3 linked regions of the Alligator mississippiensis genome follow. The protein of the gene in region 2 purifies or fractionates together with the protein of the main gene of each other region. This does not show direct contact. Links are inferred from orthologs where the notes say so. Each region holds a gene or a part of one and is shown on either strand. Other genes may lie near its edges.

Region 1 (8,212 bases), about 16 Mb from region 2:
AGTATTTGTAAATTACCTACAATCCATGTTAGTTACTGGTCATTTTCTGATCAAAAAGAAATACTACTTGCTGAAAGAGTGCAATGTGAAGTTTTGATTACTTAGCTCAATATAGATAGCTTAGCGCTGGAAGGGACCTCGAAGATCAAGTCCAGCCTCCTGCCCCAGGGGCAGGAAGTCAGCTAGGGTCAAAGGACCCCAGCGAGATAAGCATCCAAGCAGTTCTTGAATACGTCCAGAGTAGGTGCCTGCACCACATCTAGACGGAGTCTATTCCAGGTCTTGGGGGCTCGGACAGTAAAGAAATGTTTTCTTACGTCCAGCCTAAAACGGTCTCGTAGGAGTTTATGACCGTTGGTCCTTGTTTTTCCTTGGGGTGCTCTGGTGAACAGACATTCTCCCAGATCCTGATGACCACCCCTTGTGTACTTATAGGTGGCCACCAGGTCCCCCCTGAGCCTGCGCTTTTCCAGACTGAAGAGTCCCATGGCTCTCAGCCTCTCTTCACAGGGCCTATTCTCTTGCCCTCTGATCATGCACATGGCTCTCCTCTGGACTTTCTCAAGCTTCTCGACATCCTTTTTGAATTGTGGAGCCCAGAATTGGATGCAGTATTCCAGCTGCGGCCTTATGCCATTCATTGCCTTATGAAATAATCCCTAGCACAGACAGGAATAAAGGCAGGGAAACCCCCCCCACCTACAGACATTATACCCATGAAATCAGAATGCGTAAGTTACCATTGCAAAAAACAACGGGGTTCAGTAGGGAATTGTTTTAATACCTCAGACAAAGCTAAACTTAACGCTCAGACAAGAACTATAAAACACAAGTCTTTAAAGTAACGAAGCTACTTAACAACAAACTAACATGCAGAAGCAAAACAAAACAGACTTTTTCTGGATCTCATGTGCACTACTCTAGACAAGAACAGAGCTGCAGAAAAGGGATTGTTCTATCTGAGCACGACAATGCAGCCAAGAAAAGCACAGCACACTGCAAATTAGATTTTATCACAATTACAGGAAACCCTCACTATTTGCAGATTCAGTTTCAAATATTCAAACCCATGCTCTCTCCCTTATAGCGTTATGGCAGCAGCAGCATCTGTGGAAGGTGTGTGCTTGCCACCACCAGGCTCCCGCCAGTGCACACCATTCACGAATGCAGATGTTCATGAACGTATTCGCAAATTTCCCCATTCACAGGGATCTCAAGAACATATCCCCCGCAAATGGTGAGGCTCTCCTGTACTAATATACTACTGACTCATTCAGAAAGTTTTGTAAGTGGGAGTCCATGGCACTCTCCTTGAGAAAGTATAGCAGAACTCTACCTGCACCATCAGAACTTCTCCAAAAGTGCTGAAATATTCCTTTAGATCCTGTTCAGTGGTTTTCCAAGGAAGGCCCAAAACTATCAAATCAGAAGTCTTCTGCACTGCTCGTTTCACTTTCACTGCTGATGACGCATCTGTTTCATCCATTTTTCTCTTGTTATCTGAAATTAAAACATGCATAAAAAATTATCCTCAAACTGTATCACCAGTCATAAGCAGCACAATACAAGGATCCTTTGTAAAAGAAAGCACCTGTTGTAGGAAATTTAAACTGTAAAAGGGACATATGGCATTTCTTGTCTACATGTTATAATTCAGACTGTTCCATAATCTCGGGGCAGGGGCAGAGAAGTTAAAGGCTTAAACCCTCAGTTATATCACAAGTTCAGCTACTTTCTACTGCAGAACTGCTCAATGATATTCACATGCCTGCCTGATATATGTAAGCGACAGATACCAGCTGAGACAAGACAGCTCAATCCAAACCAAAAAACATTCTCCTTAGTTCATTTTCTTTCCTTTTCATCTTCGTCTTGCCCTACCCTCTCCCAATAACAACGATGTCTGCCTCCAATCTTGGTATGACTGTCACGTGGCCAAACATCTGCCACCGCACAGAGATTATTATAGGACTGGGGGCTTTAGAAGTTCCCCAAAAGATTTGAAACCCTTTACAAACATGGGTACAATGTTTGGTTGTTCCAAGTACCTTTAGGGTTAAATATAACCCCACATGTCAGAGGACCTAAAAGAGCAACAATCACTCTGCAATGCAGCCACAACTGACAGGTAAGTTCAGGAACGCAGACAACAAACCTTTGGGATAATTAACGACATAGACTAGATTTCCCCAGCCAGCCTCTGGGGCATGCAGGATTCCTTCCACCAGCCGGACTCCCCTCATACACTGAGACACCGGGTTCCTGTAACGCAAGCCACACGCTCCTGGGAACTGGGCGGTGACCGTCGACAGCAAGACGGTGCCATCATCCTCCGAGGGGATCTCAATGGGCTCGTCATTCTCGTCTTCGGTGACTCGGATGTACTCAGACATCTTCGCTGGAGGATACTAATGGATTGAAAAAAAAAAAAAAAGACACACACAGAGGTAAGCAATTTCTACTTAGGGTAGCATTTACAGTCCTATTTGTTTCAACACGGTGCATTTTGCCGCAGGACATCCCAAATACTTATGTTCTAAGGCACTAGTAACAACCCCCATGTTCTTTGTCATGCTTCATGCACCACTGACGTTGTGCCGAGACCCGGGGAAGTGTGCAGTGGCCCCCAAAAGCATCCCTCCACCTCCCCCCAACTGCTCAGAGGGTCTGATGCCCGGGTGCCCTGCAGTACCCTGGGCTGTCACAGGTGCGGCCCGGGGGCCGAGCTGCAGGAGAGGTCACAACTCCGCAGCTGCGGGGGCGGGGCGGGGGAAGGAGGAGCAGGACGAGACCACTCGGGCGGGGGAGAACTGGAGGGGAGCAGGGACCGGACCATTCCAAGGCCGGGGGGGGGGGGGGGAAGGCGAGACCACGTGACCAGCTAGGTGCCCTTCCCCCCCCGCCGCCGCACTGGGCCCAGTTGCTAGGCCCCATCCCGGGCCGCTCGCGCTCCGCGAGTCTCGGGGCCTACCTGCCCCGGCCCGCGCGCAGGGACCGGCCCCCCGCGCCGTGCTCACCGGTGCGGGGCTTGAGCGGCGGGGTGGGTGTGGGGTGTAGGGTCCGCGCTGAGGGGCTGAAAGCGCCTCCTGCCGCTGCCGACAAAATGGCGGCGCGGGCGCTTCTCACTCGTGGGGCCCGGCCCCGGGCTGAACCATTCCCACCGAGGGGGCAAGCAGCACGCTGCAGAGCCCCGGGCCTGCGTGGGACGGGGTAACACAGGCCTCGCTCAAAACTTAAATGTTCCTCAGGCGGAACCGAGCCTTCCTAAGCAGCAGCGGGGCAAGCCCTCCCTCCCGCCGCCCCTACCACGGGGCACCAAGTGGTACGGCCCACTCCGCCGCCAACGCGCATGCGTAGGTTGGGGGGGTTGGCAGAGAAGGTGGGGGCGGGGCTTTGTCCGTGGCTCCGCAGGGGGCGTGGCCGCGCTGTTCCCGCGGGGAGGTGGCACCTCCCATTCAGTGCCTGCCTCCAAGGCAGCTGCGTGGACGTGGGGCTGCACGTGCCTGGGTCGGGCCGTGGCGGTGCCCCCTTGTTTTAAACCTGTGACTTTCCTGCATCCCTCTGGTGTCTTCATTTGTCCAGGGGGGTTTCCCCTCTCTTCCTCTTGCTTGCAGCCTCCAGCATTTAAGGTCTAGGGTAGGGGCGGACAATTATTTTGTGCGGAGGGTTTTGGCAAGCCATTGAGAACCATGTAAGAGGCAGCCGGGGACAGATAAATATAACATTTCTAAACTTTCAGGGGCTCCGTGGGCCGAATATAATGGCCTGGTGGGTTGCATGTGGCCCATGGGCCGCATTTTGCCCACCCTAGTCTAGGGACCTCTGATTCAGAGGCCCTGCCCCTTGCATCCCCACTCAGTAATAATTGCTTGGAGCAGCGACACCCGCAAACCCAAAAGTGCGCTTCTGCCAGCACCTCCGGTTTTGTGGCTGGCACTTCCAGGGGTGCATGGCCAATCTCGGGGTGCACATGCACCTGCATGCACTCCCTACGCATCACCAATGCCATGTTTGGTTAAAACTTGGCACCTACTCATTTCATTTTGTGACCCTTAGTTCTTGTATTGTGAGAGATGGTCAATAATAAATCCCTATTTGCTTTCTCTTTGCCATTTAGTGTATTGTAAACCCTTATCATGTCCTGCCTCAAGCATCTCCTTGTAAACCCTTATCATGTCCCACCTCAAGCATCTCCTTTGTAAGATGACTAGGCCTTGCCTTTTTACTCTCCTTGCATGGAAACCCCTCCATACTGTTATTATCCTGGTTGCCCTTCTCTAGTTCTTCTATGTTTTGGAGGCGCGAGAACCGGAACTGGGTACAGTATTCAAAATGTGGCCGCACCATGGATTTAAAAAGGAACATAATGATACTTTCTGTTTTGTTTATAATTCCGTTTTTAATCATTCCTAATGTTTTGTTTGCTTTTTGACAGCTGCCGAGCACTGAGCTGATGTTTTTAGCAAACTGCCCACGATCACTCCCACATCTCTTTCCTGTGTGGTAACAGCTCATGTGGAGCCCAGCATAGTGCAGGTATGGTTTGGGCTATTTTTGCCCAGATGCATCACTTCACACTTATCTACGTCGAATTGCACCTGCCAATTAGTTGCCCATTTGCTCAATAGTGTCAGATCCTTCTGTGGTTCCTCATGGTCTGCCTTGGTCTTTACCACTTTGAATGATTTTGTGTCATCTGCAAATTTGGCCACCTGCCTACTCACTTCCTTTTCCAAATCATTTATGAGTATATTAAACAGCACCGGTCCCAACACAAGATTCCTAGGGGATTCCAGTGTTTACTTCTTTGTGAAGTATGTGAAGACTGAAAGCTTTTTTAAAATAAAAAAAGCAATGTTTGTCAAGCGCACAGAAGCTTGGAGTCTTCCTACATGGGGTGGGCATTATTATGGGTAGACATCCACCTTTCCCAACCCAAAGCAATGGTAAAGTTGAAAATGTGTGTACATGATTTAAAGGTAGAACCATTGTGGGGCTGCCGTAATCACTCCCCAGAAGAGTATTTATTGTAACACTGGTGATTTTAATGCTAACATAGGGTAAGAAACAAGAGAGGCACTCAACAAGGGGAACTTGGTCTGTGCTCAGTTTCCCAAAGCCAGAAAAACAAATGGTGCCTTCTTGCAAAATACTGCTCAGTAGTGATGCAATGGACATATTAGTGTTGTGGCCCCAGATTCAAAGCAACTGACTCTTGATCACAAAGGTTTTTTCGTATCTTTTCCCCCTGGAGTCTCAACAGGGACTGTAACCACACAGAAAACTATCTGCTGCCTGTAGTGATGCTCTGAAGGAAAAAAACTAATGTGTATTTAACAAATATTTAAATGTAGCCTAGGATCACATATCCTGAAATGCTTCAGTAGTAACTGTGGCTATTTCATGAGCTTGTGATGACTGGATTAAGGATATTTAAGGGTCTTAACTGTGCATTCCTATATCTTAACATGTTTGTCCTGGTCATTGCAGGGGAATGTATTTGATGTTTAGGGTTTTGTTTTATTTTTTAATTAGCAACTCCTGCAAATATATGTTAGCTTAGCTACTGTTTGTTACGGGTAAAAACCCAATTTTCTGCAGGTCTTGTGAGATGTAGAAAATCTTTGAAAACACTGAGCTCAGCTAATTGAGTTCCTCAGTCTAGAAGAACTCTTCCTTCAGGGAATGACTAAGCTCCTGTGGATTCCTAAGGGAACATAACCAACATCCATCTAGCCTGGAGTTTGTTTACCACAGCCTGAGAAAGAAATCATGCATAATTGCAAAATCTAAATTCTAGATCATATCTGACCCAATAACACCCCTTTAATCCATGTTGACATACTGGCTGGTGACTGGAGCTGGGGACTTGAACCTGAAGCTCCTGGATTTTATTCCCATCTCTGATGCAAATTCACGGTATTGCTTTGGTAGTATTGTTTAGCTTGCCTTTTTGCCATTTCTTTAGTTTACCCACTTATAAAAGGGGGGTAATGCTATTTACATCCAACAAATATGTTGAGGCTTAACTCATAAATATCTGTGAAATCCTTTTGCAATCCACAACCAAGAAAGGAGCTAGAGAGCTGCAGAGTATTATAACTAAAAGATGGTTGTGTCATCTGTGTCCCGTCCCCCACCCCACAACCATACTAAGTGTCCTAGTCACTGCTCTATTTCTTAGGTTGCTACTGCCACATTCCAGCTGCCCTTATTCTCAGATTGCCTGGCTGCATCTGCCCTCTTCCCACAAGATACTTCTTCATTTTGTGATTTAATAGAAGAACATTTTTCCCTATGCGTTCTCTCTGACAAAGCTGGCAGGAGCTCAAATCATGTGAAAGGGAGGGAAGGGCGCATCAAAGGAGGCAAGACTAATGAGGCCTTTTGCTGGGAACAGGAAGAAGAACAAAGTGAATAAACTTATGCAGCTTGCAGAAGGTAACAGGCTTCTTTGACTGTTACAAAAAGTTTTTAGGATTGGGGGAGTTTTTTGGATTGATGCAGTGCAGATAACTGTGCAAAACTGAGTTGAAGTGTCAGTTCATGTGACAAATGTCTTAATGACAGGCTGTGCTTTGTGTGGTAAGACAGCAGCTCATATTTGGGGCTGAGCCTCTCCAGAGAGCCAAAGCTGCTCTCACAGCCCCTGTCTAATGTCCATTTCCATATGTCATTTCATTGCAGTCCAGGGAAAGAAGATCCTACACATTAGATTGACAGCATACTTAAACCGTCACAATTCTTACATGAAGGTTGGCAGATTGGGGTCTGGTGTTGATAAATGCGCTGTGCAAAGGTGTGTTCATAAAATAAGAATTGGTTTCCATATACCACCTTTCATTCTGAAGGTGAGTGTGATTAGTTACTGGTAGTGCGGCAACTGCACAGGTCAAACGGGCTGTTCTCATGTCCTCCAAAACAGCTCTCACACAAATCTCAACTAGATTAGATACTATTTCATAAGAAAGGAAATGTTGAGCATAGCCCTCTCTTGATATATCAACTCCTGAGAGATCTTCAGTTGCCTCCAGTGCTTAGAAAGGATGAGAGTGGGACAGTCTTCCAGTTAATAAACAGTTCTTTTTCCCTGACTTGGCCAAAACTCGTTTGTAGGCAGACTGGAAAGGAAGCAAAATCAGTTAATAGTTCTGGTATTATCCTTCCACAGCTAGTGTTTACTGGGAGGTGGCTTGTCTTGATTTTTTTCCCTTTCTTTACGCTTTTTCTTCCTTCATTTAAAAATTACAGACCAGCTCCAGATTCAAGGTGCATACTGAGTAGGTCTCCCTGGCAGTTTGCCTGACCCTTTCAATCCAGAGTTTTCCATGCAGCCATCGTAGAAAGGATTGCTGACTGCATTACAGTGTTGAGTTCCACCTCTCCCTTCTCCTTCCATTAGAAAATGCTGGATGTAAATGAACCACATGAAGGGGCAGAACAATGGCTGTCAAGAACACTACTGTTCCCACATGGCATGGCTCCATTAACGATAGCAATTTTCTGTTTTCCAGGGTATAGCCTTCTAGATACATTAAACTCTCACATTTTATACTTTGCAGTGATAATACTGTAAAACTATAAATTAATAGCCTTTCTACAGTTTTAATCAATCACACTTTATGTGTCTGGATAATTGCCATTCCACATTTCTGTACATTATTATAAAAATATCAGAATAAAATGATAAACTTATTCAGTCCATCAATCACAAAAGACAGCCACATTAGTTGCAAGTCACGTATGTCAGAGACATCTGTAATGCAATCCGTTTTCACTTCAAGATATATATGAACAGGACGTCATGTAAAGCAATCATTAGGAGGGCTGTAAAGGACTCCCTGTCACTGTGTTAACAGGACAAGTGGAAAGACAAGTCTGTAGGGCACCTTATCTATGTTACTCCACTTATGTAACCTAAACCAGAGGGTTGCACCCCCTGTCCTGGTGAGAACAATTCTGCTTCTACATTATTGTACTTGTGCTTCCCCACACTATTCCACCCATGCTATCCATGACCAAACCACAGAATGATTCATTTTCTAATTCCCATGAGCTTTGGGATTCCCAATATCATCCAATAATAAATCTAATTTCTAGAGAGAGGTCACCTTGCCTGGAGGGAGAGCTGAATTCAATCTCTTGGTCTGGTTTCCTTTTTAAGGTGCCACACATCCGTATGCCCCTTTAAATTCTCAGGGCAACAGGTGCA
Region 2 (7,518 bases):
CACAGCCCCCGCAGCCCTTCCAGGGGTGTGGGTAAGCCCCCGATCTGCCTGCCAGATGAGGAGCCAGGTGCTGCTGCTTGGGAGTGGCGGCAGCAGCGATCTCCTCAGCACTGGTCTCAGGCAGCGCACCAATCTTCTCTCATCTGGCAGGCAGATCAGGGGCCACACCCCTGGGAGGTCTCCGGCACAGCCCCGGCAGCACTCTCAGGGGTGCAGGCGAGCCCACGATTTGCCTGCCTGCTGCATTTTATGTTTCCCCATAACCTATGGGCAAAACATCAAAACAGTGTTGAAACAGCAAAACACTTTTGACGAAACGAAACGGAACAGTGCTTTCGAAACAAAACTAAACGAAACTCGAAACGAAACACTGTTCCGCTGAATTGTCAAAATGGAAGTCGAATTGGAACGGTGCTGTTTTACACAGCCCTACTATGTAGAGCTGTAAGCAGCAGCCCAAGGGAAGGAACTGCCCGTTGGCACCAGAGACACTGGGTCAGCATCTGGAAAGGGGCCTTTTTTTCACCTGGCTTGAAGTGCTGAAACCACACACTTAAAAAAACAGAGTTTAAATTCTGCAAAGGGAGTCATCGGCCTCCTCACCAAGCAGTTTTTCTTCTTGCCAACATCAAGTGTAGCTTTAAAGTTCAGCTTATAGGGCATTTATACACGCATCTTTACCTGCTCCAACATGCCAGAAATCCAGTGTGTCCGAGAAGACTCAGTTAATCAAGTCTGTGGAGCACACAATCTGATGTGCCCGGCGTTACATCGCCTACATTTGTATAAAGGGTGAAATGCGCATCAGTGCTAAGAAAATGGCGGCGGTGCACTTTTGAACTAAAACACCTTCGATTCATTTTAGTTCAAAAGTGCACTGCTGCCATTTTCTCAGCGCTGATGCACTTTTCATCATTTATACAAATGCATGCGATGCAGCACCAGGCACTTTTAAAAAGCACCTGACACTCTTGTTCCATGTATGTGTACAAATGCCTATAGATCTTATCCAATGAGATTCTGAATTTATTCAGAAAGTCTGATCAGCTGGGTTTTCCCCAGACTTTTCAGGAAGATTTAAGGAACAACCCCTTTGCAAGGATTTCATCATTTATTTGTAGGGCCACAGGGACTGATTTAGCTGAGGATGTGACAGAATGAAGAAACCCATTACTGTATAAGGCACTGGCTACCAACTTCTCTGAAAAAATTCTCCACCCCCATTTTTCACTATTTCAAAGAGGTGAAGGTTTGGGGGTTTTTTTTTAATGTTGTACTACTAGAAGGAGAGATTTTCTGTAGATTGCCTTCCTGGCCTGCTCTGTTTTCCATTCTCACTGTCACATTGTAACAGACCAGCATACAGAGAACCCTACAGCCAAGTGCTTCTCTGGTTCCCACCATGGAAAACACTGGGTGGCATAATTTAGGAGGGCAGAACCAAGATAGCTAGAGGGAAAAAGTCTGATTGGCTGCTTTTGAGCTTCCTCCCTAGGACCAGTGACACTGACGCAGGTTCAGAATTGCCTCACTGATTGGGAAATACCCAGCTGGAGGAACTATATTGCCCACTACAAGTTATAGGTATTTTTGCAAAGTAAAGTGGCCACATCCTATGCACCAGAATAGAACATCTTTTTATACCAAAAATGAATGCATCCCACTAATTCTTTTGAGATCAATGGCCACTGTTTCAGTGGGAGCCCCTTGCTATGTCAGTTACCTTTGAATAAAGATTATAGCTATGTGATAAGGGGCAATTCTGACATTGCCACTATCTGGCAGGTGTTCCTCTTCTCTTCTAGAATGAGATCTACTGTAAAGTAATAAGGCAACGCAATCTAGACTGATGTGTCAATGATGCCTTTAGTCAGATTTGAAGCCTGACTCATCAGCTCAGAGAACTGAAGCTGACAACACGGCTCCCCCGGCCAAGAACATTTAAGAGGAAGACTACCAAAAATTGCCACATGAGCTATAAACAAGCATGTTTGCACTGTGTGCACAGATTGTATCACCAATATATTCCAAGCAAGTCCTGATTAAATAGGCAAATGTACTATAAGTTCCTTCAGTTACTGAAGGCAATATGTTGTAGAAAGAGATCTAGCACTGCCTGCATGCCTGCAGCAAGAAACAAAATACATTAATCTCAGGCGTTTTTAAATATTCCTGTCCCATTTATGCAGAAAGAACAATTAAAAAATAATAATTTGTTAAAGTAACCTGGTTTCAGGAAAATATTCTTAGAAAACAAACACACAAATATAAGATGTAGGTGTAAGTGATTCACCTGTATGTATAAAACAGTTATTACATAATCATTAATTAGATGCTCTTCCACAGGTGACTAATAAGTAATTTACTTTGGAAGAGACTGTGTCTGCTCTGCACCTGAGGAGTCAGAAACACTTTTGCGAGGCAGGGGGGGCCGCCTCTCCCTTTGGAGGGAAGAGACTTGACGGCACAAGACAGGAGGTTGCTGCCCCCCCCCCCGCCATGAACGGAAGAGGAGCAGCCCAGCGCGGGCATCGCGGCCCGGCAGACGCTCCCCGGCCGCAGGCTCCCGCCGCCCGTGCTGGCCGGTCACGGCGGGCTCACACCTCGGACTTCGCTCTGGCATTTTATGGTCGCGGCACCCCGCGTCGACCCGCTGCGCCCCCCGGCGGAGGTGCCCGAGGTGCCCCCTGGCGGACCGGCCCCGGCCCCGGCCCCGGCCCCGGCCCGCGCAGTCCCTGCGGATTTTTAAATCCACCCGCCCAAAGCAGCGCCGCTCCCGGGCTCCAGCCAACCAGGGCCGGGCCGGGCCGGGCCAGGGCTCCCCGCGGCGGCCCCTGTCCGGGCCGGAGCCAGCTCCTGGGGCAGACGCACCCGACCGCCCGGGCCCCTCGCAGCGAGCCCGGCCAGGGCCCCGCGTCCCGCTCTCACCGTCCGCTCTCATGCCTGCCCCGCGCCGAGCGCCCCGCGACCCGAGTGGGCAGCAGCCGGTGCAGACTGAGCAGGCGGCCGGAGCCGAGGGCGGAGACCGGCCAGGGGCGGGGCCAGACCGGGCCACGCCCCCAGCACCGGGCCACGCCCCTCAGCCCCAGCTCGGGTCGGGCAGAGAGCGAGGCGAGCTCCGCCCAGGCCCCGACCCGGCCCCTGCTCCGCCGCCAGAACCCCGCCCCCTCCGCTTGCAGAGCGGCCCAAGCCACGCCCATCCACCGCGCGCACTTTTTTTCAAACCCAGCAGCCGTCCTGATTGGCTGCAAGGCCGGCGGGGCAGGCGGAGCGGCCTCGGCTCCGCCTCCTCCCCTCTGTCATTGGGCGCTCAGGATGCGAATTCGAATTGGGGCGGTTAGCGGCGCGCGCCGCTCGCGGGCTCTGGGGCCGAGGGGAGGCGCATGCGAAATGGCCCCGTCCTCCCCTGGGGGTGTGGGAGCGGGGTGAGCGCGGCCTGGCGAGGCTGTCTCGGGCCTTTCGTGCATCCTCTGTGCTGTCTATGGAAGGGCTCGGGCGCCTCATGGGGGGCCCTTGCAGGCAGAGCTGGGTGCGGAGGCGCTCGGAACTCGCAGGCCCCTGTCGCTCCGGCCACCTCAAGCTGCAGAGCACGAGTGGCCGCAGCCCTGCCAGTGCCCCACGCCCCCCGTGTGAGGCACATGCCCCGATTTGTGGGCACGGGCAGGAGCTGCCGCCACAGCCCAGCGCCTGGGACCCAGCGTGGGAGGGCGGAGCAGGGCGACAAGACTCGCGGCTGCCGCCACCACCACAGGGCCCCCGCGCCGCCAGCAGTGCTGGGCTCTGCTCCACCACCATGGCCTGGCTGCTGCCGCCGTCGCCACCACTGCCCTCCTGCCTCCTGCACTGCCTGCCGCCCACCGCCTCCAGGGTAGGGCCGCGGCCTGCAGGGGGCGGCAGCACTGGCTGCGCCATGCAACAGGGTAGAGGTGGGGGCAGCACAGCCCCCACCCATTACTCCTCATGCTGCTGGTGGCACGACTGGCGCTGGGGTCCTGGTGGCAGCAGCAACAAGCCTCGCTCCGCTCTCCTGCGTGCTGCGTCGCACGTCTGTGCTGGTCTGGTCTGGCCAGGCCAGGCTGCAGCCCCGTGCCTGCTGCGGATGCCCAAATCTGGGGGGACACATTGCCCCCCATAGACTTACCTGTGGGGAACTACAGGAGCTGCTTTCCAAGCTGCCTGGCTGCCACATGCATGTGTTGCCCCTTGCAAGCCGGCAGCTTGCAGGCTAACACTTTTCCACATTTTTCTCCTTTAAAGGAAAAAAACACGATTTTCCACATTTTTATGAGATTGTTTGAGACCTTTCATATATTTTTGGGCTGCACCCCATGGGTTGAAAAATGCTGCTCTAGACCATCCTATGTTTTCATCCCCCCCTCCCTCTGGCTCGGCAGGTATGCACAGCTGGAAAAGGGGTTAAGAGGAGGTGCTGGGAACTAGTGACTTCCGTGCCAAGTGGCACCAGCCTTCACCTCTAGTATTAGGGACCTCCGAATAGAGCTTCGATGTCAACAGCGTATGGGGAAAAGTTGCTTAAGATTTTAGACTGGGAGGCAGAAGGGGAAAGATAATAGCTGAAGAAGTCCAGGGAAACAGAAAGAAAAAGAACCAAAGTCTATAGCAGAAGAGTTAAAAAGTAATGTCTTCAGGATTAGGGAAAGGAGGACAAAGCACATGGGATGTTGGGAAAGGAAAGAAAAGGACAAATGAAACAGCCTTAGGAGGAAGTAACAGAGGTGCTCAGGAGAGAGAGAGAGAATGAAGATGCATCTTGAGGAAAATGGATAGGAGAGCAAGTCTGCTTCTGCAGAAGGGGCTGTACTTGTCATCCCTTGAAGATATTAGTGGGTTTTTAACAAGTTTGTGCACAAAGAAGACAACAGAAAGAAAAGCTCTTTGCAGGGTAGAGTAGTTCTCTGGAGACCATAAGCTGAGAGAGACTTTTCTTGTCCTTAGGTATGAGGACATAGCTCATACTGGTTGATACTCTCTTCTTGCTAGTATGTTAAATGATAGTAGGGTTTTCCATATCCTTGTGTGTGTGTTTACAGTATTGCTGCTGCTTTTATGTTTCTTATTTACTAGGTGGTCTAAGACAGTAGGAGATGATTATAGTAAAGGAGAGACAATATTTATATGAGCTCATGAAAATTAGCTAGGGAAACTTGGAAAGTAATAATAAAGGCATTTGCTTTGTACATTGTACACTTAATCTCAGGTGTTCCAAAATCTAACAAAAGAAATGTGTGCTCAATGTTTTTTTGTGGTTTTTTTTTTTTATTCTAGTACCCTGCTCTGTCCTCATATCCATCCCCACCAGAGGGGGTCACAACACCTAAGCCAGTCATGCACCCATTCTCTGAAGGGGATTATGTCCCAGTACAGCTGTTTCTGTCCATTTTATATAATATAAAGCTATATAAGCTATAATATCCCAGCACTTTTGTCTTTTCATATAAAATTAAACCAAAACATTCAATATGTAGCAATATTTTGTGTTTTTTAATTTCAAGGTGAACAAAGTAAATCTCAAAGCCACTTTCTTCTAACTCCTATCACTTAAAAATTATTTGTGTTTGCTCCTAAACTGAAAGGTGCATAGTAATGACTACACTTCTGCCTCTGCAACGGAATGGTGACTTCTGCTTACTCAAGAGAATTGTCAAAGCACATCTGGGTCTCTTATGCACAGGACAGCCAGTCACACAAGTCCTGCAATGTGAAAAGGGATTGTAAAAAGCTTTCATGCAGGTACAAGTTGTCTAATTAGCAAATTCTTTTTTTATTAATTATTCTGATGCTAGTAAAAAGTTGTAGATTGATAACTAGGATCTCTTATTTCCAAAGCTGGAGGGATCAAATATCCTACATTGCCTTTTCAGTGCATCTCAGCTGCAACTTTCCGATTAGGGAGGGGTTCCCCTCCCCCGCAACAGCCCAGCAGGGAGTTGATAACACAGTGTTTATCACCCCTCAGTGTTTATTAATAACAGCCTCTCATTAGTTCAAGCTCTTCTTAAACAACTTTTTCCAAGGAGGGACATTACCAGCTACCTGTTGATTAGCTCCCAAAAGCCCTAAGCTGACACTGTGCTGTCTGCCTTTGTCCTGTCTCCTGCAGCACAGACCATAGCCAGCATGTGGTATGCTAGCTAATGCTGAGAGGTGTCCGCATAAGACAGAGGGGAGGGGGGATCCCTGCTTGAGCAGGGGGTGAGGGGGAAGGGGAGAGCACGAGGGAGCAAGGCAGACCCCACTGTACCTGCAGTCTTTGCCAGAGCTGCAGCCAGGGAGCACAGGGGAGGAGCTAGCCTAGCTCTCTGGAGCAGAGAGCCCCACCCAGCCAAGTAAGCATGCCTGGATGCTAGGGGATTCTGATTTACCTTAAACCAGGATGGGGTCTGGGACAGATATTGCATAGACCAGTTTGGCCCAAATCAGTTAAGTCTGATACTACATTCAGCCAGATTTATCTCAAACCAGTTTCAGCCATTTTCAAACTGGTTAATGTGCACTGAACATCTCTTCTGTTACAGGTTTAAACCAGTTTCTGATCACTTAAACTGGTTTATCTGTAATGTCTGTCCCAGGGGTTGGAGGTCCTGCTCATCTTAACTAGGAACCTGGACTAGTGATGCTCAATCAGGGTGCCACGGCATCCTTTTAGGAGTGCTCTGTGGGGGCCCATGCAATTTTAGTATTGTTAGGATTCAAAAAATAAACCCAGAAGTTTCAAAAGGGAATTCATAGTGTCAAAACCATTCTGACCTGTTGTGGTCTGAAATCTTTTCAACAGAAGAATTGTTGATACTAGTTGAGAAGCTATTGTTACAGAGTTGAGAAATAAGTGAAAGCTAAGAGCTGGCATTTTTTGAGGGGTGCTTGAATCTAAAATAGTTGAGAAACACTAAAGCTAGACTGAGACTGCGAAATTCACCAACCGTCAGATAATAAATATATGCATTGCTTGCTTTTCTCTGAGGAACTCGGATACCGTGTCATTAATATTTTTCTCTCACAGATAGTGAAACTGAGATAGAGTAGCTAGATAACTTGTCTAAGGTCACACAGGAAGTCTGTGGCAGTGTTGAGACTAAGACTGAGGTTTGCAACCCTTCACTTCCTTGCTATCACCATTAGACTAAGGAGTCCCCAAACTTTTAAAGTGCAAATTTTAAGAGATTGTCATGGGGGTATTCTATGTTATCTCAATTTTGATCACACAAATTTGCTTCCCCTGTCACTTGTGGCTACATAATGTCTCTGTAGCACATAGAACAATTACTCATGTGAAAAAGTAATATTGGGAATGTTGTCCATGTTAATTTTAGCTTCTTTTCATGAGAAATGTTGTCCCTTTTGAAAAAAGTTGATCACGCTAGCTGCTTTTACTCTTCATCTCCCCCCTCACATCTGTTCTGTTTTTATAAATCATTTCAGCCAGAAACATGTGAACAGCTAGCTCCCTGAAGACTACCAGTTGTTCTCTGGCCCACTAGTGGCGCATACTGGTTTGGA
Region 3 (7,736 bases), on a different chromosome or scaffold from region 2:
AAGTCACATTTCCTAGCACTGGAGACATGAAAGAGATCACATTGACAAAAGTGACAGTTACCACCATAAGCAGTAATGCAGTAACCTTTTACCAATGAGCAATCACTCTCCTAAGTAGAGGCAACCAACTACTGGGAACAGCCCTTACATTACTCTACAGTGATTCCCAAATGTCCTCCTTCAAAACACCATAGGTTACTTAGACACCTGCTTATAGACACTCACAGAAAGAAAAAAATAATTGGGAATCCTCAGCTCCAACTTTAAGCCATTAAAAAGAAAAACCTCACTCACCTCCATAGCTACAAAGGCCTATAAGAGGAGGGCCTGCTATGAATTCAAGGGGACAGCATGTGAAAATTAACCCAAGATAAAAGAATCATAGCCAAATAAAACAGAAGAGGGGCTGTAAGAACTGGAACTGTTTAGTCTGGAGAAGACAATTTGGTAAGTCTTCAAAGAAAAAAAAGGGTTGGTATAGGGTGGGCAAAATGTGGCCTGTGGGCCAGATGCAACCTGCCAGGCTGTTCTATCCGGCCCGTGGGGCCCATAAAAAATTTAGAAAATTAATATTAATCTGCCCTGGGCTGCCTGTCATGTGATCCTCAGTGGCTTGCCAAAACTGAGTAAGCAGCCTTCTGCCCAAAATAATTGCCCGCCCCTGGTATAGAGACAGTGGTGGGCAGCTATTTTTCAATATGGGATAGGACAAGAAACACTGATCTTAAACTGTAAGAGAAATTTAGATTGGATGTTAGGGAGAACTTTCTAGTTATAAGGGTGGTTAAGTACTGGAGCAGATTACCTAGGGAAACTGTGGAAATCTTTATCAGTGGAAGATTTTAAATGCAGTTTAGACAAACACCTAGCTGGGATGGTTCAGACAGGGATGATGACAGGGAACCTCAAGCAGGAGGTTAGGCTAGCTGCCCTTATGAGGTCCTTTCCAACCCTATTTTTCTAAGATACAGAAAACAGATATAACATAACATCCCTGATCTCTCCCTTCTCTCACTCCTTAAAATAGGAAGAAAAGTAGTTCTTCCATATTCTATCTTAGTATCAATAGTCACAACAGTTTAACATCACGTTGTAACTAGTATAACCTCTCACTTAAGGCTGTTTGTGTTAGCATTGATGTGAATATTTTGTTCCTCCCCTTTCTGGTACTCTGCTGTTCATTACAGCAGTGATTCTCGACTTTCTCAGACTCATTTCCCTTTGGAAAATGCCATCTCTTAGTTTCTGCTCATTTTTGAGTACAGAAAAATAATAAAGCAATTCTTCTGCTGTGAAGAACATATCAGGATGTTTCTCACACTATGGATTCCTACTTGAAATCTCTGCATTTATCTAGCAAACCAGGTTTGCACAACTAACCATGCTAATATGAAGCAGCATGCCACAACACCCCTAAAAGGATCTCATGGCACCCCAGGGAGCCACACCACCATGGTTGAAAATTACTGCTCTACAGTATAGTTTCCTATGCTTGTCCAGTCCAGGTTTTCGTGGTGCTTCCATTTTAACCCTAGAAGATGACTCTATCAAGAGAAGCTACCACCGATAGTACCCAATATTTGGCCCACTATTAAAAAGAATAATCAAAATGATCTTTTCATCATTCAATTACGGCCTCTGTAGAACTATCCTGAAGGCTGGTAACCTACGGTCTGCAGAGGGGTTGAGTCCAGCTAAGGGCAACAGCAGCATTCAGCTGCACTGTGCCACCCATGCTCTCTGCAGCCCTCCCTATGGCTCTCTTGCACCCGTACTTACTCCCACCACACGGTTTGCCCATCCCACTGCCGTGGAGATAGGGATCGGAAGCTGAAGTAAACGTAAGCAACTTTGGTGCTTCTCAGGAACACAGATTTGCAGCCTGTGATGTAGGCAGCGTAGCAAACAGCAGCCCACAGCAGCAAAAGGTTGCACTATACCATTTCCACGGTGGGAGGACAACACCTGGACTACACGATACCCAGCTAGTTGCCCTTGTGAAGAATGCCAACACCATACCAGGCTGCATTAGCAGATCGAGGGAAGTGAGCCTTCCCCCCTATTTGGCACAAGTGAGGCCACATCTGGAGTACTGTGGCCAGTGTTGCACCCCCATTACAGAAATGATGTGGACAAACTGGAGAGAGTCCAGCAGAGGGCAATGAAAACCATTTGGGGGCTGGGGCATGTGACTTCTGAGGAGAGGCAGAGGGACTGCACTTGTTCAGTCTAGAGAAGAGACCAAGAGGGGACTTAGTAGCAGCTTTCAACCACTTGAAGAGAGTTCCAAAGAGGATGGAGCTGGACTGTTCTCAGTGGTGGCAGATGACAGAAGAAGGAGCAACTGTCTCAAGTTGCAACAAGGGAAGTTTGTTGGATATTAGGAAAACGCTCTCTCAGGGGGAGGGTAGTAAAGCACTGGAACAGGTTGCCCAGAGGAAGCGCAATCACTGTCCTTGGAGGTTCTTAAGCCCTGGCTAGACAAAGCCTTGGCCAAGATAAGACAGTTGGGGCTGGTCCTTCTCCAAGCAGGACGCTGGACTAGATGTGGCCTCCTTAGCTCCCTCCCAACCCTCGTTTTCTAGGGCTCGAGGCAGGCACCGGGGGCAGGGCGCGCCCGACAGTGACAGGCAGCTGCATGTGCGGAGGCGGACGGGGGCGGCACAGCACGGCAGCCTGGTTACCAAGGAGACAGAAGGGCCTGGGGGCTGCACCCCACCCCTACCAGCGGCCCCGCCCGCCAGCAGCAGCGCCACTCCGCCGCAGCACGCGCCGCCAGGACCCCGCGGGTGGGCCTCTCCAACTCCACGTGGGACGATCCCGCCTCGCCCATTGGCCCGGCGCTGCGCCAATCCGCCCGCAAGCCCCGCCCCAGCTGCTCCTGTGGAGCCGGAGCCGGAGCCGGGCCCGCGCGGAATAAGCGCCTTCCCACCCCCGCCCGCTGGCCCCTGCTGCAGTCAGGCAATCGGCCCCGCGGGTTCCGCCGTCCCGCCAGGCCGAGGCTGCCGTAGCTTCACCTTCTTCACTTCGAAGCGTTTCTTGCCGGCGCCGCTGTTAGTGCCGCTCGGGGTATCAACATCCATTGCCGCCGCCATTTTGAGTGCGTGACTTGGTGGCGCGCATGCGCGGCGTCACGGACGGGAAGTCACGTGGCCACGTCCCTGTTCTGCTCGCCCCGCCCCGCCCGTAAACAGGTGTATGGGGCAGGGCAGGCAGACCACGTGACTTAAAGGCGTTGGCCAGGGCGGAGCCCCATAGCCGGCGCCCCCTCCCCCCACCCAGCACGGGGGTTGCACAACCTGGGCCTGCACTTAAAGGCGCAGGCACCCAACTACCGCTGACGCAGCTCGTGGGCCTGTCCTGTCCCGCCCCCCCGCGCGGCTTGGTTCGCACGCGAGCGCCCCGGGGCGCAGCGCGGGCTGTTCCCTCGGAGCAGCAGCGGCTTCTCGTTGCTGCGGGCCAGCGAAGCTCCGCGCCCCCGCTGCCAGCACCGGTCTGGGCGTAGCCTCACACAAGCAGCCGCGGGTGCTACAGCGGCTCTCAGGCCTGGTAGCCTCAGGCCGGGCTTCAAGGCAGCCCCGTATGAAGCGGCAGCTCGGGGCGTTCACTCGCGGTTGTTTTTTTTACCCCGGCCAAAAAAAGGCAACAAATAGAACAAGCCGCCCCCAGGGCCGCCTGTCCTGCGCAGAACACCGGGCTCCCCGAGCCGCCCGCGGCGCTCTGCGGCCCTGCTTGAAGCGGCGGGGCGGGCGGGAGCCCTGGCGCCACTCTGCCCCGCCCCGCCCTTGATTCCTGCTCCCCCAGAGGTCACAGCCAAGCGCAGGGGCCGCTGCGGGCAGGCCGCGCTGAGGGACGATCTTGCCTCGGGCAGGGGTTGGGCTCTAAGACCTGTGGAGGCCCCACCCCGCCCCGCTCCTCTATGACACAGGCCGCAGTGTCTTGTTGGGTGGTGCCAAAAGCACCCGCAACCCTGACTGGAAAGATGCCGGCTGCCAGGGGCAGACAGTAGAGGAGCTGCGGGGGACCCGATCCCTGTTACGGCAACACAGACCAGCCCCTGCCCATCGGCCTCTCCGCCTGCCGAGCAAAATGCCTTCATGTGCCCCGCTGTCACCCGTGCTGCGGGTTGCCCACCCCTGCCAGGGCCCTGATCCCTTGTGACCTCTCCGTTCCCCCCTGCCGATCCCCTGCTGTCCTGGCTCCACTGCTCCAGCTCTCCTTCCTCCTGGGCCTCCCCCCTGCTCCCCGTCGGGCAGCACCTGTTCTGCAGCCCTGCAGCCTGTTTTACCTCTAGCTAGAAACGCTAACTTGGGCGTGGACATATTAACTAGCATGAACATTAGGCTTAGGCATAGACGTGGCTTTCAGTGCAGCCTGGGAGGCACTGTCCAGGTGCTCAGGAAGGCTTGATTTTGCTTCATGAGTCTGAAGAGAGAGGCACACCTTTAATGACTCCAGGACTAACAAGACAACATATTTGGATTATTTTTTGCCCAGTTTGTTGGGGTTTTACCCATAATATAGGATATAGAAAACACACATTCCAATGAAGTTTTTTTTTCTTCAGTCTTGAATAATATAGCAGTAGGCCCCTACTTATTAATGAAGCTCCTAGTTTCTTTTTTAACTGGAGAAAAACATGTTGTTTCATATGTGATGGCGATGCGGACCCACACCATCTGTATCTCCCTTTTCAAAATTCTAGCTCTGTCCATAGACACCCTTGAAAGCATCTCGGCAGCATGGCACCTAGCTGAGAATCACCAGTGTAGGCACGTCCTGAGTGGCAACGTCAAGAACACTTTGACTTGGGGAATGCAACTTAGGGGTTCTCTGATCTTTATGTAGAACAGTGGTGCCGGATCTGGTCCCACAGGCCAGATGAGTGGTGCAGGGGTCAGTCCACAGGTCAACTCCCACGCAGGAAGCAACACATGGAGTCAGTCTGCAGGTGTAATCCTCCATGGCATAATCTTCCACCTGGGGCACAAGTTTCCAAACACTTCGCAGCTCTGCTCTGGCACTTACATATGCTCCTGCTGAGTACTATGCACCAGTATGGGGCCAGAGCATGCACACTAAGTTACTGGATTCCAGCCTTCACAGCGCATGAGGACCATTACCAACAAGGGCCTTATGCCAACTCCAGGTGACTGCTTACCAACCCTCTCGGGTTGGTCTAATAAAAGATATCAAATTCACCCAAGGAACCTTGTCTACCAACCCTCTCAAGCATTCCCTCCCCTAACATCTGGAGGCAAGCTGCTACCCTGGTTCTAGGCCTCAAAGCCCAAGATCTAGGCCACTCTGCACTCCAGCCCAGTAGCTGCAAGCGAGAAAACCAACTACTACCTGAAGCCTTGGAACTGGTTCTCCACTCAGTCCAATAAGATCATTGAATCTGCAGATGGCATGTCACCTACAGAATGGACCTCCTATCAGTGGAGTAGGCAATATGCTGCACATGAACGCTGTGTGCTCCCTGAGGCTGGTGGGGCACGGCAACTGCCTGCAGGCAGTGTCAGCGGCACGGTGTCGGGGAGCAGAAAACTCCTGCAGGCAGCTGTGGTGGTGCTGGCAGTGAAGGCAGGCCAAATGGGAAGCTCCCACAGGCAGCCACAGCGGTGTCAGCGACAAGGGTGGTGGGGTGGTGAGTGGTAATTGCCCGCAGGCACTGTTGGCAGTGTCAGCAGTGCTTTTCGCTTGGGGTGCACCACCAATCTTAGGAAGTGCACGTGCACACATGTGTACCACCTATGCATCGCCAATGATGCTGCACAAAAACTGAAGCTAAAGAACTTCATCCCCAATACCAGCTTCTACCCCTCAGGATGGCGGCTGCCCCACAGGGCCTGAACTGCTCTTAACCATCTCAGAAGGGGCACTGGACAGTTTAAGGCGAGCATGCACTCTTGGGGCCTCTCCAACAAGGCTAGCTGCAGCTGTGGGGCTCAAGCTCAGATAGCCAACAACACCATCTATGAATGCCCTTATGGCCCTCCTTCGGGTGCCCACGGTCTTACTGACATTGACCACTCTACCTGCTTCTAGCTTTCTGGTCCCCATGCTTCTGACATATGAGTGTGGTGACACTTGCTTCATCAGCAGCAGCATCGTCATTATCCTCCATAATGGCTCAACCCACACACCAGATCTGCCCACATGCCAACCCAATCATGCTAGACCTGGCTGCAGAGTGATCCTGCATACTGATCTGACCACATGCTGGCACAATCTGGTACACAGGTTTGCATTACCCAGCCTGTGGGGCTCCCCATGGTACTAGACATTTGTCAGTAGGAAGCAGCAATTAACATTGCCACTGCTCCACCACTGCTAAATTTCCAGACCTATGGGAAGCCTCACGGGCCAGATGACATGGCTCTGCAGGCCAAATCTGGCCTGTGGGCCAGAGGTTGAGAAACACTGATATAGGGTGTCTTTGGCCTAGGTCCAGGTACGTAGGCAGCTACTATAACTGGCAGAGTTAGGCCTGGTGCTGAAATAGTAACTGAGAATTTTCTTTTTTATATTTCAAATTCTCAAAATGTAATCACATATGGAATAAAAAGGTCCTTTTTAATTACCTAATTGTAGATAATGTTCACTTTGGCCCAAAGACTCAATATGAGAAATACCAAAACCAAAAGACTTAGTGTGTTTAATAAAAAGTTGAGATCTTTAATCAGGAGCACAAGCCACATCTCTTAAGTCTGGTTTCATTTTATTGACTAGATCATACTGCCTTCCTGCACCTAACATTTCATCAGAGACCAGGCCTTTTGGTGAATCCACAGAGACTCTTCCTACAGTGACTTATTCCCTTCCAAACCTTTGATTCCATATAGATGCAAGGAGTAGGGTGCAGAAGCAGGGAGCTTTTATCTCTCTCATCTTGGGAAATATGTCAAATAAGTTCTTGACTTTGGAACAACGAAAACTTAGGCTATCACCTTTCCACAAAAAATCCAGTCAGGTTTTATTGGACACCCACTGCATATTACAATGTGGTGTTTGGAAGCGTTTAATCAGTTATAAGTTGTCGTGGAAACACACGCAGCATACTTTTGGGTCAGGTCAGCAGAAGCTTTTATTCAAAAGAAACTACAGCTGTAGGGGGAGTTCCAAAGTGACATGGATTTCCCAAGCACTTGGAAGGGGTCCCCCCCCCAGAGCAAAATCAGGAGGCTTATATACTTTTTAACAGTTGCTTACAACTCACGTGATCATATAGTGAAATTAGCATGAAAAGCGGCTATAATATTACTTCATTATTTTTTTGCTGTAATCAGGATGGGAACTAATGGGGGAGGCGAGATTAGTTCACAAACCTCCTTGCACCTGGAAATTAACTTTGTATATACTTTTCTTTTGTTACCTTCAAGGCCACGGTGAGCAAAGCAGTTGCAGAGGAGTTACAAAGAACAAACACTTGCCCTTATCTGTTCTACTGTACAGAGCCAGCAATTCTACACAAAGCGGTTATGTCATCTTATAACTAAAATAATCAAAGTTTAAGGCATATATTTTTTCTGATTCCACAAAGTGAACATCCAGTTAGAGGTAAATAATACAGGGACGGTAACGGTCACACTAAATGGGAGTTTTGCCATTGTTTTCAATATAACTAGTGTTCAAAAGCTACATTTTCTTCTGTTTAAAATTAAATGCATACGTATACTTTACAGAATCAGGGTCTAAGTCTACAGGTTATAAAAACTACCAAGATAAGTCAT

What was found.
Region 1: the proteins of CCNF (region 2) and TARDBP purify together in Homo sapiens (affinity purification with western blotting; 3 studies listed by BioGRID, with this or other methods). This does not show direct contact. The link is inferred for Alligator mississippiensis from reciprocal best matches to the Homo sapiens genes CCNF and TARDBP.
Region 3: the proteins of CCNF (region 2) and RBX1 purify together in Homo sapiens (affinity purification with western blotting, with the first as the bait; 4 studies listed by BioGRID). This does not show direct contact. The link is inferred for Alligator mississippiensis from reciprocal best matches to the Homo sapiens genes CCNF and RBX1.

What each region holds. Positions count from the first base shown.
Region 1 is NC_081836.1:11,855,456-11,863,667, reverse strand, and holds the start of TARDBP (TAR DNA-binding protein 43), read right to left. Parts: upstream 3,128-8,212; 5' UTR 3,018-3,127; exon of another isoform or gene 2,972-3,017; intron 2,409-2,971; 5' UTR 2,394-2,408; coding exon 2,156-2,393; intron 1,501-2,155; coding exon 1,337-1,500; intron 1-1,336. UniProt on the Homo sapiens protein: RNA-binding protein that is involved in various steps of RNA biogenesis and processing.
Region 2 is NC_081836.1:27,360,431-27,367,948, forward strand, and holds the start of CCNF (cyclin-F), read right to left. Parts: upstream 3,036-7,518; 5' UTR 2,942-3,035; coding exon 2,929-2,941; intron 1-2,928. UniProt on the Homo sapiens protein: Substrate recognition component of a SCF (SKP1-CUL1-F-box protein) E3 ubiquitin-protein ligase complex which mediates the ubiquitination and subsequent proteasomal degradation of target proteins.
Region 3 is NC_081827.1:97,703,428-97,711,163, forward strand, and holds the start of RBX1 (E3 ubiquitin-protein ligase RBX1), read right to left. Parts: upstream 3,128-7,736; 5' UTR 3,096-3,127; coding exon 3,018-3,095; intron 1-3,017. UniProt on the Homo sapiens protein: E3 ubiquitin ligase component of multiple cullin-RING-based E3 ubiquitin-protein ligase (CRLs) complexes which mediate the ubiquitination and subsequent proteasomal degradation of target proteins, including proteins involved in cell cycle progression, signal transduction, transcription and transcription-coupled nucleotide excision repair.